3 linked regions of the Arabidopsis thaliana genome follow. The protein of the gene in region 3 purifies or fractionates together with the protein of the main gene of each other region. This does not show direct contact. Each region holds a gene or a part of one and is shown on either strand. Other genes may lie near its edges.

What was found.
Region 1: the proteins of p24delta5 (region 3) and ERD2 purify together in Arabidopsis thaliana (affinity purification with western blotting, with the first as the bait; one study listed by BioGRID). This does not show direct contact.
Region 2: the proteins of p24delta5 (region 3) and ARF1 purify together in Arabidopsis thaliana (affinity purification with western blotting, with the first as the bait; one study listed by BioGRID). This does not show direct contact.

Annotation. Positions count from the first base shown.
Region 1 is NC_003070.9:10,257,191-10,263,358, forward strand, and holds ERD2 (ER lumen protein retaining receptor family protein), read right to left. Parts: upstream 4,043-6,168; 5' UTR 3,717-4,042; coding exon 3,626-3,716; intron 3,619-3,625; exon of another isoform or gene 3,372-3,618; intron 3,227-3,371; coding exon 2,961-3,226; intron 2,254-2,960; coding exon 2,138-2,253; intron 1,739-2,137; coding exon 1,665-1,738; intron 1,579-1,664; coding exon 1,515-1,578; intron 1,427-1,514; coding exon 1,390-1,426; 3' UTR 1,058-1,389; downstream 1-1,057. Other genes in the region: AT1G29320 (Transducin/WD40 repeat-like superfamily protein), read left to right, coding at 1-136, 218-307, 431-486, 563-620, 714-1,048. UniProt on the Arabidopsis thaliana protein: Required for the retention of luminal endoplasmic reticulum proteins. Determines the specificity of the luminal ER protein retention system. Also required for normal vesicular traffic through the Golgi. This receptor recognizes H-D-E-L.
Region 2 is NC_003070.9:8,334,298-8,339,999, forward strand, and holds ARF1 (ADP-ribosylation factor 1), read left to right. Parts: upstream 1-2,295; 5' UTR 2,296-2,508; intron 2,509-2,920; 5' UTR 2,921-2,934; coding exon 2,935-3,082; intron 3,083-3,211; coding exon 3,212-3,282; intron 3,283-3,435; coding exon 3,436-3,555; intron 3,556-3,642; coding exon 3,643-3,761; intron 3,762-3,894; coding exon 3,895-3,976; intron 3,977-4,070; coding exon 4,071-4,076; 3' UTR 4,077-4,530; downstream 4,531-5,702. Other genes in the region: CSLA03 (cellulose synthase-like A3), read left to right, coding at 1-117, 214-312, 423-675, 759-1,006, 1,091-1,404, 1,491-1,685, 1,771-1,933; AT1G23500 (GDSL-like Lipase/Acylhydrolase superfamily protein), read left to right, coding at 5,371-5,629. UniProt on the Arabidopsis thaliana protein: GTP-binding protein involved in protein trafficking; may modulate vesicle budding and uncoating within the Golgi apparatus.
Region 3 is NC_003070.9:7,689,976-7,694,956, forward strand, and holds p24delta5 (emp24/gp25L/p24 family/GOLD family protein), read right to left. Parts: upstream 2,485-4,981; 5' UTR 2,353-2,484; coding exon 2,137-2,352; intron 1,797-2,136; coding exon 1,584-1,796; intron 1,503-1,583; coding exon 1,426-1,502; intron 1,335-1,425; coding exon 1,190-1,334; 3' UTR 827-1,189; downstream 1-826. UniProt on the Arabidopsis thaliana protein: Involved in vesicular protein trafficking. Mainly functions in the early secretory pathway.

The sequences.
Region 1 (6,168 bases), 2.6 Mb from region 3:
TCTACTCAACGTAGACCGGTCCTGTCCTTTGATTTCCGTGAGACCGCTATTACATCAATTGCGGAAGACCCAGACGGTCATACTATCTATGTCGGGAATGCTTCTGCTGACCTAGCTTCCTTTGATATACGAACAGGTTCATTGATTCTCTCTAAAAATGTATCATAAACTATGTTGCTTGCTGAATCAAACAATTAATCGAGCATCTCTATTGCAGGAAAGCTGTTGGGAAGCTTTTTAGGAAAATGCTCTGGAAGCATAAGATCTGTGGTTAGACATCCACAGCATCAAGTGATAGCTTCTTGCGGTAAGATTCATTATCACAACTTCAACGTCCATATGCCGTAACCCGTAACAACAATCTCATTTGTGTTGTTTTATTTAATTGTTCAACAATTTCATCTGTTTTTCTTTTAATTGAATTGTCTAGGGCTGGACCGATATTTACGTGTTTATGACGTTAAGACACGCCAGCTCATTTCTGCGGTATGCTCTTCAACCTTTGGACTAGTATTTTTTTGGTGAAGTTGAGTCTTACTTATATATCATTGTTTTATTGCAGGTTTTCTTGAAGCAGCATCTTACAGGTCTTGTATTCGACTCGGGCTTTTCTGGAGAAGGTTTGTTTGTTTTCTAATGCCGTTCACAAATCGCATCTATGTTTGTATTCCTCTGTTAGTATGTTTGTAAAATGATTGGATTCATGGTTGAAGCAGAGACAGCTGTAGCAAACACAGTGGCTGAGGCTGCCACAGAGGAGAAGATGACGATCATGGACCAGGAAGATGATGAAACAGAGAAGGCTCCTGTGAAAAGAAAGAAGTCAAAGAAAGAGAAACGCAGTAGAGAAATAGTCTTTGAGGGTGAAGACGATGAGGAGAATGAAGACGAGATTGAGAAGGCTCCGGTCAAAACAAAAAAGTCAAAGAAAGAGAAACGCAGTAGAGAAAAAGTCTCTGAAGGTGAAGAGAAAGACGAGCTAAGAAGCAAGAAGACACGAGAGCACAAGAAGAAGACCAAGATAGTGAAACACAATCAAGAAGACTAGGTTTAAGTTTTGAAGACACATTGTTAACTTGGCTCTGATCTGAGCTACAGTTTTGAACTAAACACTCGCACAAAAGAAACAGAGTTTGTGTGTTATCTATAAAGACTAGTTTTGATAAAACGATGCCTCTTCTCAATGTCTAAAATCGTCGGGAAAGTTACAATGTGCATTAAAGACTAAAAAAAAAACACATTTTAAACAACAATCCTGCATCATTCAATTTTCAACTCATTGTTAGAAAGAGGGAGGACCCAAATGTTAACCATGTCTTTCTTTTCTAATGTCACCATTGCTGTAACTTCCTGGATTTTGATACTATTGCAAAAAAATTCGGGTTCTTTTCAAGCCGGAAGCTTAAGTTTGGTGTTGGTTTTCCAGCTACAACAAAATCAAAAAGGATCCAAAGTCAGTAACATGATCAGTAACTATAAAGAGAATATTATTCAGACTGGTGAGGTTACTTTACCTTATGTAGTAGTAGTAGAAGAAATCCGCATAGAGAGCTGTTTGGACAAGACCAGACACACAAGCTGGAAAATGGATTTACGTAAAACATTAGCATTGAGGAAAAACAAATGGTTAAAATGCATTTAGTGCTTCTTTGTTGAAACATTACCAATCCATCTAGTGAAATGATCTTCTGTGAAATAGCGATAGATCCAGTTGATAATATAGAGTCCCCGATACGCCCTGCATGTTAATCATTGCCCATGTGAGTGCATACAGAATACTTACTCAATTTTGCACATTGAAATATTGTGCACTGGACACAAAGGTATGCATCAGAACCAAATGCATAGCAAGATGTAAAGCAGTCTGATTTCCTTTATAGAAAAAAATATAGTTCAGCTCAGCTTCCAGACGCATTAACATTAAACGGAAAACAATGTCTGGACTTTAGAAATATGCACTGATTTTTAAACACCACAATGACACTGGAGAGCGATTCTCATTGATCAAGTTAACAAGTGCATGAGCAGTGAAAGACACAGTATATATATAAGATAAACCAATTCTAAAAACAAACCCAACAGAGAAGCCAGTGGAGATCAAGTGAGCAAACGCATATGTCTGGTTAGAATTACGTACCCGAGAAAGACAACATATTGCCCAGTCAAATTGTCGACATTCCCACTTCTTTGTAGCAGAACCAACTGGGGAAGGATAGCAACTGCCTCTAAGTAGATAGAAAACGCCCAGAACACCTGAAATGGTTTGGAATGCACAGAATTAACATATTGCACAATGATTCTGGCTATCAACACAGAGAGGCCACAATGCTGCAAAAATACTTAAAGAGTGAAGGCAGTTTGCAAAGATCAGATCTTTACCAAGAGCATATACTGGAAAAATACATATGAAGGTAGTAAGGGAAAACGATCTTAGTGAAGTGCATATAAGGAGTCACTACAGTTTCTTATGACAAGATAATCAAAGAACACAATGGCCAGAAAAGTAACAGCGAGATACAGATGACACTAATCCATGGGGCACCTTATGGAACATAGGTAGGTAGGACACAGAAGATTCCATGAATGGAAGCAAACAAACCTTTCACGATGCAACAGTTTGATATTCAAAGAGTTTCTCAAAACAATCAGCGAGTGAGAGGCTACATAGGTAGTACAACGTTTAAACAAGCAAAAATAAAACTATAAACGCCGGACTCCTAATTGGTTCTGGAAGGAGTTATGTTCAGTTTCATTTACATAGACGATATTCTATTCTACACTAGCCAAGATAGTTACCAAATCCAAATGATATAAGAAGAAGGAACCGAATGAATCAAATGAATAAATAAACCAAAAACAAGATTACACAACATATGCATGTCTTCTAACAACAAGTATTCGCTTTCCTAGTCTCTACAACCTAAAAACACAAAAGCAATGTGAAATTCATATGAAAATACCTCTTGAACTGTGAATTTTTCATTCAGGATAAGTCCCAGTACAAAACACGCTAACACAACATACTGATGACGAAATGTGTCCAGGTCCTTATCGTATGACCTCCTCACAAGTGGATGCCTACGCATACACCAAACGATAGCCAAAGAGCTGGCAATGAAGACAATCTTCATGATGCTGTTGTACAGAGATACATAATCCGTAAACAGATCCAAGTACCGAGTCAAGAACACAAGCGCATAGAGCTCTTGAGTCTTGAGAGAGATTCCTAGCCAACAAAATCCAAAAGTCAACAGCAACAATGTTAGGAGCTGCACAATCTATGAGAAAATCATGAGCATCTACAAGCATTTTCCATTCCGTGTAGCAATTTTCCGTTAAACCTAATGCAATTTAGGGGTGAGAGATCTCACTCGTTTAGAAATTCCATAGTGGTTTCGAAGATTGAGATTTCACAACTATTTTGACTTGCAATTTCAATCTACCAACTCGGATTCGCCTCGAAATCGATAAATAGACCTCAACAGGATTCAAATAAGATTGCATTTGAAAGCTATGGAAAGGAAAACAAAAGGTCAAAGCAAAATGCGATTGTTTCGTCTACGAGCTCGTCTTCAAAATATACACAACACATTTCATGAAAGAGAGAGAGAGAGAGAGAACTCACCAGCGCAAGATTTCGTCGCGTAGATTTTGAGAAGAAGGATTAAGACACTGATCAAGTGACTCATATCGCCAGCAAATCTAAAGATATTCATGGTTGACCAGTAATCGATAGAGACTCACCGATTCCAAAATTTTCCGGGAAAATCCAAAAGAAGAAGAGAAAACGAAATCGAACGAATTTTCTCTCTTCAAATCGAGAGAGAAACGAAGGAAGAGAGAGAAAGAGAGGCAAGGTGCAGCACGTTTCAGGTTTTGCAGAAACTCGTTGAGAGGAGACGATGACGTGGCAATCTGGAACGGTCTTTCTTCTCTAACGTGTGTGCTTACTTATTTCCTTAAAACTGCAAATTAGTCCTTCATTATTCGATTAATTATCGAAGTTTCCCTAAATAATTACCAAAAGAGAGCGTTTTAATTTTCAAAAGTGGAGAGGTGGTGTTATCTGGTACGTCGCACCTTGGTAAACTAGAAAGCGCCAGCTATCGGTGGGTCTATATTGCATCATATTAAGCCACGTGTTAATAGAACAGTGATGTGGCAGCTTCGTACGCGACATGGTGTGGTGTTTAACTTCAATTTTAATTCCTCGTGTTATCCACGTGTTTTGTATTTGAGAAAAACAGTTAGAATGGACCGGTTAAGAGTTGGTTATTAATAGATATGGGCCTTCTGTTATTATTTATATGGGCTTTAGCTCTCTGTGATAGATTAATACCCAATGTCATACCATGAACATATGCAAACATGTTTTAAAATAAAAAATTGAATGTTGATTTTTTTTTTTTTTTTTTTTTGGTTATGGAACGAAATAGAAGTGTTTACAAACTAATGTGATTGCAAATATGTTTTTTTTTTTGGGTGTATAATAATATTTGTTCTACGGTTGTTTTGGGTTAAACAGTATAGGATTTTGAGATTTTTGTGCTAGCTGTTGTCCTGACTCCTTATGATCTAACTCATTTTTTTTTTTCTTTTTTGCAAAGATGATTGAAATGTATAGTTTAGTCCATAAAATTATAAAATGATATTCAATGCTTCGCTTCAACGTTCAAGACTTCGTTTTTCTAGTGAACTAATAGACAACCATGAAAATGATGTATGAACGTCATTTAAAACAAGAATAAATTGTATGAACGTCATGACTCATGAATATAGAGGACACGAGAAATTAAACATGTTTGTTTTTTCTTTATCGTTAGTCAAAGAAAACCTACAGTATCACTAATAATACTCTTACGTTAGACTCCGTGGTCGGTCCGCTTGTTGCCTGGAGTGTTCGACTTTATCGATTATAGAGAAGTTCTATATATAATTTTATTTAATGGCGTATTTTAAAAAATCAACTATACCATTTTCAATTGTGTATAGACTATTGACTATAGATTATAGAATTTTTCAATGGCCACTAATCAAACAGTTCTGAAATCAAACAAATAGCTTTTCTGACTACATTGAAACAGTTAAAAATAGATAACATCACGTGACGGGATTATCTATGCTACAATGAAACTACGGCAATCGACAAAGTCGCTGCTTTTGTAATTTCATGTTGTGATGATGATTAAGGTGGTTCAGACGTGTGGTTTTATAGGAAACCGACTTTGTTTACATTTACAATAATTTCTTACAATTTTTAGAAATTTTGAACGTTTTACGATGAACACAATAATTTCACATGTAAATGTAAATAGTATCAAACAAAATCATTTTGTAAATTGTAAGCGCAAATACCAAACAAAAATGAAATGAACATGTAATGTAATATGGTATTTTTGCTTATAAAAGAAGCATATAATGTAACAAAGAAAGTTTTTACTACACATTGCAAAAATATGAAATAGTTTGATGGTAAACTGATCACATAGAAAAATGTTTGAATTTAGTTGGGTTAGCTTTAGTGGATTCTTTAGTTGTAATTTGCAAAACGCAAAACTTGGTTAAAGAAAGTGAACTTCCCTTTAGCTTAACATTTTTCTACACGCGCCTTCAATGTTTCAGCGACACGTTGCACTTGCATCTTTCCAGAGTCAACGCTTCACTAGCATAGGTTTCTTCTTAGAGCAAAGAGATGTTTATTGTCTGATAATAAAATTTACTCATTGTAACATGTGTTTTAATTATTGGAATCTTTAATAGTGTAATGTAACATTTAATTTCATACAAAAAAACGTATAATTTTAAAACATATACTATTATTACTTCATGTTAACTTATAAAAACTTCGTTGTAAAACTTTGGAAAAATCGATAGCTAAAACTTGTTTTTGTTATATTATAGTAATTGGAACAATCGGCAAGTTTAACATACAAAACACTAATAATCGAAAAAATGGCAATAAGAAAAACAAAATAGAACCAACACCGTAAAAATCTTATAAAAACATCATGTATGCATTTTTTAATCATTCCAAAATCTAGAAATGTGGTGGTGGATAAGAAAAGTTTAAAATAATTGATTTGATCATGTCACTAAAATACACTTTTTTTTTAGGTCAAACTTTTTAAACAATTTTATAATTAAATGTGTTTGATTTGAAGCAATTTA
Region 2 (5,702 bases), 640 kb from region 3:
AGACGAACACCTGAGAAAGTACACAAGTGGGAACCTATAAACGATGATGACCTTGAGCTTGCCAATACAAACTACCCAATGGTTCTCATTCAGATCCCAATGTACAATGAAAAAGAGGTAATTATGATTTTGTTGTAACCAAGATTTTTTTTAATGAATATACATATATTATACAATACTAATGAAGGAATCAAATTCTTGTTGTTGTCACAGGTTTGTCAGTTATCTATAGGAGCAGCCTGTAGACTTTCTTGGCCATTGGATCGAATGATAGTTCAAGTACTTGATGATTCCACAGATCCAGCTAGTAAGGTCCTTTGTTCAATTTTTTTCCCCCCAAAAATCTTTGGTTTATATGTATGATTGGTTCCTCAACTATATATGGAACGTTTTTGACATATGAAATGATTTGGAAAAGACAGGAATTGGTGAATGCGGAATGTGATAAATGGGCGAGGAAAGGTATAAACATAATGTCAGAGATTAGAGACAACAGAATTGGATACAAAGCAGGAGCATTAAAGGCAGGAATGATGCACAACTATGTGAAACAATGCGAATTCGTCGCCATTTTCGATGCTGATTTTCAGCCTGATCCTGACTTTCTTGAACGAACCATTCCTTTTCTTATTCACAACCATGAAATCTCTCTTGTTCAATGCCGTTGGAAGTTTGGTAAAGTCATATCTTTTTTGAAAAATAATAGTTATTATTTTGTTAAGTCAAATTGGCTAATGGAGAGAATGTGTTACATGTAGTGAATGCAAACGAGTGCTTAATGACAAGAATGCAAGAGATGTCACTAAACTACCATTTTGTGGCTGAGCAAGAATCTGGATCTTCAATACATGCTTTCTTTGGATTCAATGGAACCGCGGGTGTATGGAGAATCGCAGCTTTAAACGAAGCTGGAGGATGGAAAGATCGAACAACCGTAGAAGATATGGATTTAGCAGTAAGAGCTTGTCTTCATGGTTGGAAATTTGTCTATGTCCATGACGTCGAGGTACTACTACTATAACCCTTTTAAACTCAAGCAAAACATAACAAGATTTCATTCAAGACATTATTAAGTAATCTAACATTTCAGGTGAAAAATGAATTGCCAAGTACATTCAAAGCATACAGGTTTCAGCAACATAGATGGTCTTGTGGACCAGCTAATCTATGGAGGAAGATGACAATGGAAATCTTACAGAACAAGAAAGTGTCGGCCTGGAAGAAATTGTATCTCATATACAATTTCTTCTTCATAAGGAAGATTGTAGTACACATCTTCACATTTGTCTTCTACTGTCTGATATTACCAACAACTGTGCTATTCCCTGAGCTCCAAGTTCCTAAATGGGCAACTGTTTATTTTCCTACTACAATCACTATCCTTAACGCAATCGCTACACCTCGGTAACAACATCTCTACTGTTCAAGTAAAACTCTGTTTTCTCATTTCCTAGTATGATAAAAAGTTTGACATATATTGTCTACTGCAGATCACTCCATCTTCTTGTCTTTTGGATCTTATTCGAGAATGTAATGTCGATGCATCGCACAAAAGCGACATTCATCGGGTTACTAGAGGCAGGACGGGTTAACGAATGGGTTGTTACTGAAAAATTAGGTGACACTCTCAAGTCTAAGTTAATAGGTAAAGCTACAACTAAGCTTTATACCAGATTTGGACAAAGGTACTCTTAACTTAAAAACACACACACAATTACAATTTTTAAGCATTTTGAAATGTTGTAACTAATTTTAGTTAACATTTTGCAGACTCAACTGGAGAGAACTCGTTGTTGGATTATATATATTCTTCTGCGGATGTTACGATTTCGCATATGGAGGATCATACTTTTATGTTTATCTGTTTTTACAGTCTTGTGCATTTTTTGTTGCTGGAGTTGGTTATATTGGCACATTTGTTCCAACTGTTTAGATTAGACTTTTGTATTTGAGAGCAAATGTGTTTTTGCTATTTGATTAGACCAAATTAGAGATTGGATCTTGGTTACTTAAACCAAGTTAACTCTTCCAATATTCATACTCAAAATGTAATTTTTTAAATGGTGTTATGATCTTAAAATTTGGTTATCGATCATATTCATACGTAACATTTTATGAATTTGTATTTGCCAATTGTGTTCTAGAAAGAAAATTGAGAGAAACATACAAAAAAAACAAGTCAACGTCAATGATTTAAGATGTTGAAAATGACATGGCGGTTTTGGATTGGTTAGATGCAATCCACGGCCAATGACCCATCACGCATGTAAACCGCGTAAGCACAAGGCCCCTCCACGAAAACATTCGTCGAGGGGTATTCTAGGTATTACCGGTGATAATTTATGTGAATTGACGTTTTTATCCTTTGCCTCTATAAAGATCTTCTTCCGTTTTTGCAATTACGGCGTCGCGCATTTAGCGTTGTTTTGAAGCTCTCTCTTTCAAATTCTGTTCGTCTCTCGCGATCTCTCTCTCTCTCTCAGATAGCTCCGAAACTTTCACGCAGAGGTATTATTGATCTAGATCTGAGCTAAGGCATTCTCAATTTTGATTGTTTCAGTGTGTTCTTAGGTTGGGAATTGAATATTCTTGCTTCGATTTAGGATTTTTCTTATGATGATCCGTTGTATCTTTGGGTAATGCTTTGGATTTCGATGTTTTTGGTTGAAAATTCTGATTTCGATCTGCTGCTGCATCGTTTCAAGTCTGGATCTATGAACATTATCTTCGATTTCACCTTTTTCTCGTTGTAATTGCTTCAATTAGATTCTGAATTCCGCAAGATCTATACGATGAGGTTTTGTAAACGTTGTTGCATCTGTTTCGATCTGCGTTATTCTAATGATTTATAGTCAACATTTGGAGTTCTCGCTGGTGATCTCTCTTTATGTGATATTGATACTCTGTTTCTGTGTGTTAGTTAAGTGAAGCAGGATGGGATTGTCATTCGCCAAGCTTTTTAGCAGGCTTTTTGCCAAGAAGGAGATGAGAATTCTGATGGTTGGTCTTGATGCTGCTGGTAAGACCACCATTTTGTACAAGCTCAAGCTCGGAGAGATTGTAACCACCATTCCCACTATTGGTAAGCTTAAACATCATTTCATAATTCAGTGTTTCAAAAGCTTAGTTCCATCAACTTTGTTCATACCATTCATACAAAATTTTGTCTTCCACCTGCCGTGATGATTAAACTACTACAAACTGTGGACAGGGTTCAATGTGGAGACTGTGGAGTACAAGAACATCAGTTTCACAGTGTGGGATGTCGGCGGTCAGGATAAGGTATAAGATTATCCAACTCTAAAGCATTAAGAATTCTTTTTTTTTTGCATCACTACCTGGGGATCTTTTTCCTACTGTGTCTTGGTATTATTGTTGATGAACATAGAATTACACAAACTCACATGTCGCAAAACCTCCACTTCTTGTTGTCAGATCCGTCCCTTGTGGAGGCATTACTTCCAGAACACCCAAGGTCTTATCTTTGTGGTGGACAGCAATGACAGAGACCGTGTTGTTGAGGCTAGAGATGAATTGCACCGAATGTTGAATGAGGTCTGTATCAAGTGTTATATCTTTGCCTGTTGTATTGAATTCTTCATGTTTAGATGATTCAGTAAACTGTTTGTCGGGGTTTTACAGGACGAGCTGCGTGATGCTGTTCTGCTCGTATTTGCTAACAAGCAGGATCTCCCAAATGCTATGAATGCAGCTGAGATCACGGATAAGCTTGGTCTCCACTCTCTCCGTCAGCGTCACTGGTAAATAAAAACATTATAATCTCCCCTGCTTCCCTCATGTTGATTTGTTCTCCTGCACATAACGTTTCTTATGATATAGTTCCAAAGATTTATCACCTCTCTGATTGATTTTATGTCTACGAACTCTCTCCAGGTACATCCAGAGCACATGTGCCACTTCAGGCGAGGGGCTTTACGAAGGTCTTGACTGGTTGTCCAACAACATTGCCGGCAAGGTAAATTATCACAAACAACAATTTTGATTTGTGGATCAGTATTTTGAAGCAAATCGTGATTCTTGTTTCTGTGTTCTTGTTACTGGTTGTGCAGGCGTAGAGGGAAAGTTCGTGGTGGAGTTGATTTGCTGAGCAAATCTGGATGCAGGGGCAAACATTATCTGAATTTTTTTTTTGGTTTCCGTTTTCGTTATTGTTCTGCTTTTTTTTTTGGGATATGTCGATGGATTTTGTGATTGTACGTAGAACTTAGAAAAAAACTACCTTTTATATAGTTTTGGTAAAACTGTAATCGAAGATTTCACCTACTGCTTTCGTGGTTTTGGTCACATTTTACTTGTGCACTTTGATTCATATGTTGGAATGCGGTTTCGTTGGCACCTGCTACACGAAACTTGATGATTTTGCTAGTATTTGTCATATGAATCAAGTAGAGGAAAGCCATGACCAGTAGGCGAAATGCTAGAGTGTGGCAGAAGAGGAATGAGTAGACAATTTAATCATAAATCCACTTGTTTGAAAAAAAAGTTAACATTCAAAATTCTTTGCTGGCATCCTCTAATCCCTTTAATATTTCCAAATTCTCGCACTTTTTGAACACCACATTCATTTTTGTCAGAATATTGCGTTCTTAATTTGTCTAGAATAAGCACACTAAAACTAATAATTATCTTAACAACCATGGAATAACATAAATTATCTGTTTTTCTTTATAATATTTTTGTAGAATTGTAGGTTAATGAAATGTATAAATTGTGATTCTAAGAGTATATATGAATAGTACAATTGTACGGTTGGAACTATTTTGCGGATTACTGTTCAAAATTAATGTGTTTAAAGGTCACTGATTTACTTTCTTATTCTGCCAGCCATTAAGGGAACGTTAATCATCATTTTGACTAGAGTGATAGTTGCAAGGACGATATTAAATACAGTATTTGATAAGCAATTAAGGAAAATAAAAGAAACAGAAACAGAAACAGAAGATTTGAGTTTATTGAAGAAGGAATTTAGAGTGATTGGAGTTTTAATAAGTTTTGAGATGATTTTGGTGAATTTTGGTGAATTAGGAAATTTGTCACTAAAATTTCCTCAAATCTCACCTAAAACCATGAGATTTATATGTTTGAATTTTAAACTAAGAAAATTCCCTATAATCTCACCTAAAGTCACTCAAATCACTTCAAATTATCAAAGATTAATTCATTGGATTTGATTTGTTTTCCAAAATTAAACAAGATACCAATTATTAAAAAATAAAGATCCCGTTGATTTTGGATGTACAACTTTTCCGAACTAGTCGTATATAAATACTAGCTTCTTTGACGTCGACTATAGCAGCTTTTCATTTGATATACAAATATTCATCAATATATACATAGACACCAAAAAACATGAATTTTTCTTTACTTTCTACAATGCTAATGGCATTGTCTTCTGTTTGCTTGTTTTTTGTTGGTTATGCGCAGCAATTTTCAGGAAGTGTAGCAGTTTCAGCACTTTTCGCTTTCGGAGACTCGATACTCGATACCGGCAATAACAACAATCTAAACACTCTTTCCAAATGCAATTTCTTTCCGTATGGTAGAAATTTTATAGGCGGAAAAGCTACTGGAAGATTTGGAAATGGAAGAGTTTTCTCGGATATGATTGGTATATCTATCAACGTTAACATCTACTATATCTTTATACACCTCGACACAACTATATAATGTTACTGATTTAC
Region 3 (4,981 bases):
TTAAGCTTGTGATTCTAACTATATCCGAAGGCCATCGTCTCCATATGATTGCGGGGCTGTGTTCACAAGTGACAGAATTTCATATGATGGAGGTGGAAAGTGGTTCGCAGACCTCTTTTTGGCATGATAGATGGTGCGGGCTTGGTCGACTTCATGAGGTTATTGGAGAGAGGGGTTTTATTGATATATGAATCTCAAAAGAGACACAATGTACCGTGGGAACAAGTGAGAAAGTGATTAATGGTAATGGTAATGGTAAGTGTGAGGTTCGTACGATGACGTACGAGAGAAGTAAGAGATTAAGCAAAAGTGAAAGGACTTTAGTTGGATTCATGCTTGGACTTCCATCTTCCATAACTTGGGCTAATGGATTACACCTCTTCATTTTTAAAAACTAATATTCATATTCCAACTTTTATTATTTCTCCTCGCATTAACTTTACATATTTGTGCTATTAAAGTGAGATCCATTGTATAGGTAAGCACGATGACGATATCAGCAAAACAACAGTAGAATTACGATTCAGAAAGAGAGAAAAACATCAAAAATATAAATATTTTACCGTAACTAGGCAATTTAAAATTCACTTATAAATGTTTTGGACAAAATGTTGTCAATAAACTAGTGGAGAATGCTTAGATGACCTAACCAAATGTATTTGGTTCTTCTTCCATTATGAATACACACACATATTATAATATGTTGGATCTGATGTCTAACTGTTCCCACACATGATAGAAAAGGACATAACATACAATAAGCTTGTCTACATGATAAATCAGATTTGTCTTCTTTGCAAGAATTACGCCACGCAATTTTAGTTTACTTTAATCTTGATTTATTAGCACCATTAATCATAAATAAACATGTTAACTAACATTCATATTTCTGATAACAAAATTACCCCAAAATGCCTGTGAAAGAAAGAACTTTTGGTACATTGTCACATTACCTGTATTTTTTTTTTTAACTCCAAAAGAGATCAATCAAAACACAAAAGTGACTGTGCACAAACTCAATGATCTCTAACTATCGACAGTAGTAAAGTTTCACAGAAAATATAAATGAAAACGCGTTCTTCGATTTTTTAACCAATTCAACTCTACAATCTTGAGCTTATCCCTCTTTTCAAGGTAGGGATGTGTGATGTTACTAATATATAGTAAGAGTATCCTTCAGGCCAAGTTTCTAGATAAGTTTCTTCTTGTGGAAATACCTCTTCAGATACAGTATCTGTGAACCCACAACCACAACGCAAACCCCGAGTGACATTATACTGAACCAAGCCACTCTTGAGTTGGTTGTTTCACTCACTTCTCGCATCTCCGCTTCCCTGCATCCAAAGTTTTCGTTTTATCACTATGTTCTTGTTTCCCGAAGTTCAATAGATACCACTTAATCGCAGCAAGGCGAAAGAAACACACCTGTCTTTTATATAGTTTAAGTTCTCACGAATCGACAGCACCAACCCTTCAAGTCTCCTCAACTGAAGCTCAACACCCTGCAGATACACATTCACAAGAGTTGAGTTTTCACATCAGAGAGGGAAAGATGTTTACATAGAAGTGAAAAGAAGACTTGCCTCGATCTTTTCCTTTTTAGCAACAGAGTCCCAGTCTTTAGCTGCAATACCCATCTTCCAATCAACCCCAAGGGTTATAGGATTGGCTAAGTGATGACTGGAATCAATCCAGAAACAAGCCAAGTAGTTCCCAGCTTCTTGAGTTGTGAATGCAAACTGACCATGTGTTACATTTTCTTGGTGATGAAGATTGTTCCCATACGGAGATGTTACCTATCCAAACCAAATCACAGAAAATTCAAGACACCATACAAAAATCTTATGACAATGATTAGCTTTAAGAACATCCAAACCAAATCTGCAAATATAAAGCCACATTAACATGCAACAACAAATCTGCATCTTTAAAAAATTTCAAAACTTTATACATATCAATGAATATGATCCGTAACAAGTCACCGACAGAGAATTCACAGTTTGATGATTAAACCACATAACAAAACCATTAAAACCCTAAAAATCGAAGTAAAGACGCGCAAAATTGAACCAATCAATCTCCTACAAAAGATTCAATTTTGAAGCGATTCAATTCCAAGCACAATAGGAACCTTACCTTAGAAGAAACAGCAGGTGTATTTTCAGGATTATGCTCATCGACGACATAGTAATCAGCCAAAACGACGACGTTGCTCTGTATCTCCTCGGAGACACACTTCGTTCCACCCGTCGTCGGAATCGTCAACCATATAGCTTCGCCGTAATTAACCGTCAGAAAGAACAAGACTACCGTCAGAAACAGAGAACCATGAGCAATTCTGTTAATAGCCATCGGAGAACAACGATGGTCTTCTTCTCCTTTTTTTTTTTTTGGTCTCAAGTCCAAGCCAAGGAAGGTCAAAGTCCAAAAAAACCAAACACAAACGAAGACAAGAGAGACTCCACGCGCGCGTGTGAGAGTGTGGGAGGTTTTAAGAGCATTTTGATGGGTTTCGGTGACTTGTTTCAACGTAAGATGAGCCAATCAGATTCTGAGGAATTGTCTACGTGGCGTGTCTTTTAAGGAGGTGGCGCGTCATTATGTTGACCTTTACCTGCTTAATGATTTAGAGGGTTCCGTTTACCATTTTTGTTATTTTCCTCTCAAAGTGGATTTTGCATTTAATTTTACCATCGTCTATAGTTTGTAGAGTGAAGAATTTGAGCCAAAGATTACAACTTACAAGTATAAACATTGAATGAGAAATTATTGAACCAAGAGGCTTATTGAATTGAAAACAAATTATTGGGTTTATTTTGTTTTGTTATCATTTAAATCACAAATTGTGTATAACAATACCCTGCTATTAGATAAATCATTTCATAAAACACATTTTTGTGTTATACTAAGTTAGTCTACAACTTTATATAACATTTTTGTGGCATATTAATAGATGAATTAATATTTGCTGATTTTTGTAAATGCAAACATAAAACAAAAGAAGGAATTAAAATATTTCGTATTGAAATAAATGGGCCCCCATTACAAAATGACTTTCAAATGGGCCAACGAGTATTTATATGGCTGATGATATATAATCTTTGGGCTTGTTATTTGTCATCTTCCCATAAGGAATTGTTACCTTTACTTCTTTTCTTTTTTGTTTTCCTTTTGATAGATCTTTACTTGTTTCTTCTGCTCCCTCCTGTTTGTATAACTAACTATTTACAGAGAATTTTGTTAAATACTTCGAGAACATGCAAAGAGAAGATGTATATATATATTTCTGCTAGAGTGAACAAATATGTGATCGGGGTTTATAGCTTAGTCATTTTTCGTCTCATAGTCATATATAAATCTAATTCATAAAAATATTGTGAATTATGTAAACGGAAAATAAATTATATATGAATTTATAAACCAAAACAAATATGTATGGGGTCTATCATATTTTATGTCCCCACATCATTTTTAACATTTTCAAAACCGACTAAATCATAGATCTGTGAGATATACAAAAGAAAAGGATTTGGTGGTTGAACCTAGTTCACTGGATCCATTATACATGGTTGAACCTTCAACGTACATCTTTAATGAAAAAAAATATGAAAAACAAAAAACATTCAACGTATACTATTTCATCTTCCTCGAAATTTCCTTGCCATGCGCTGTAGTATTGTAATCCTCCAAATTTGTTACGATAAATAGTACACCAATAATAAATGTTGAAACTATTGAGGTTGAGATTGTATCGTGGTGATATTGTTGAGTCATTTGTTGGGAACTGGTACGGAGAGAGTACGGTACCACCAATTAATACATACAGTTTATTGGATTTTCCATTTATCAAGAAAGATCCATTTTGTTTTAATTTTTGTTTGTTTGTTTGTTTGTTAAAGCAAATATGTTTGTACTGCAATGTTTGTTTACTTGCCTTAGCCTTTACTTTAGGCTTGCATGTCTGAATATGTCTATTCATGTGTAAGTGAAACATCTTGACAATCCTAAAACCTATCGTAAAATATAATGAACATGGTCAATCCACTCGACATCAATTAGTCATAAAAGCCTATAAAATTGATGCATTTCTAGTTTAGTGTATCATTTTCAAAATTCAAAAGAGGAGATTACATTCGAGTAAGTGTCAAATATGAAATAAGCTACGTGTTAAAACTCAAAAGTTAAAATTGAAAGAAGCCACGATCGAGATGCTTCTTCTCGTCATGCAAACGCATGTTTTGGCTGGAAAGCTGACAAAATCCGCCCATATTCTTTCTCGCTCTCTTTATCGAACTGACATCTTGGAGAGTTTTGCTTAAGACCAAAGTGTGAAATCTAAAGACGAAGACAACAAATTAAAGTACCATATCCCATGATTAATCTTAAGCTTTGTGAGAAAGTCAAGGCTGTCCACAAAGAACATGTCATCTCCCATCTTTTCTTACATACGATCATGTGCTCGTTGCGTGTCCTAAAGTTTTATATGCTTTATTTATTTATTTTTATATTTTCCCCCTTTTTCAATTGTTTATACTTTATATCAATCTTTAGCATATGTTCGTATAAATTATGTTGGTATATATTAAAGTTACGTAAGACAAAATTTATTAGAATTCGAAATCCTAACTCGACAAAACGAGTTAAATTGAGCTTTATTTGATTTTCTATATTCTAAAATAGAATGACTCAAAGACAAATTGTGTATATATGTATATATATAATTTTAATAACACAAGTTGTATGTGGAGAAAACGATGTAATTATAAATTTGGATCATATTTTCGATATAGTATGAATTTTTTTTTAATTTTTTTTAAAGATTACAAAATTTAGGAAGATAAATACACGAGTGAGTCTGACGAGAGAAAACGCGGTTTGGATTTGGGTAGCAAAAGAGACAGAGTGAGAACAGCTGTAATTTGAAGTCACTCATCAATTTAGCATCATCACCTTCTCCCACACTCTTCTGACTTCACTCTTC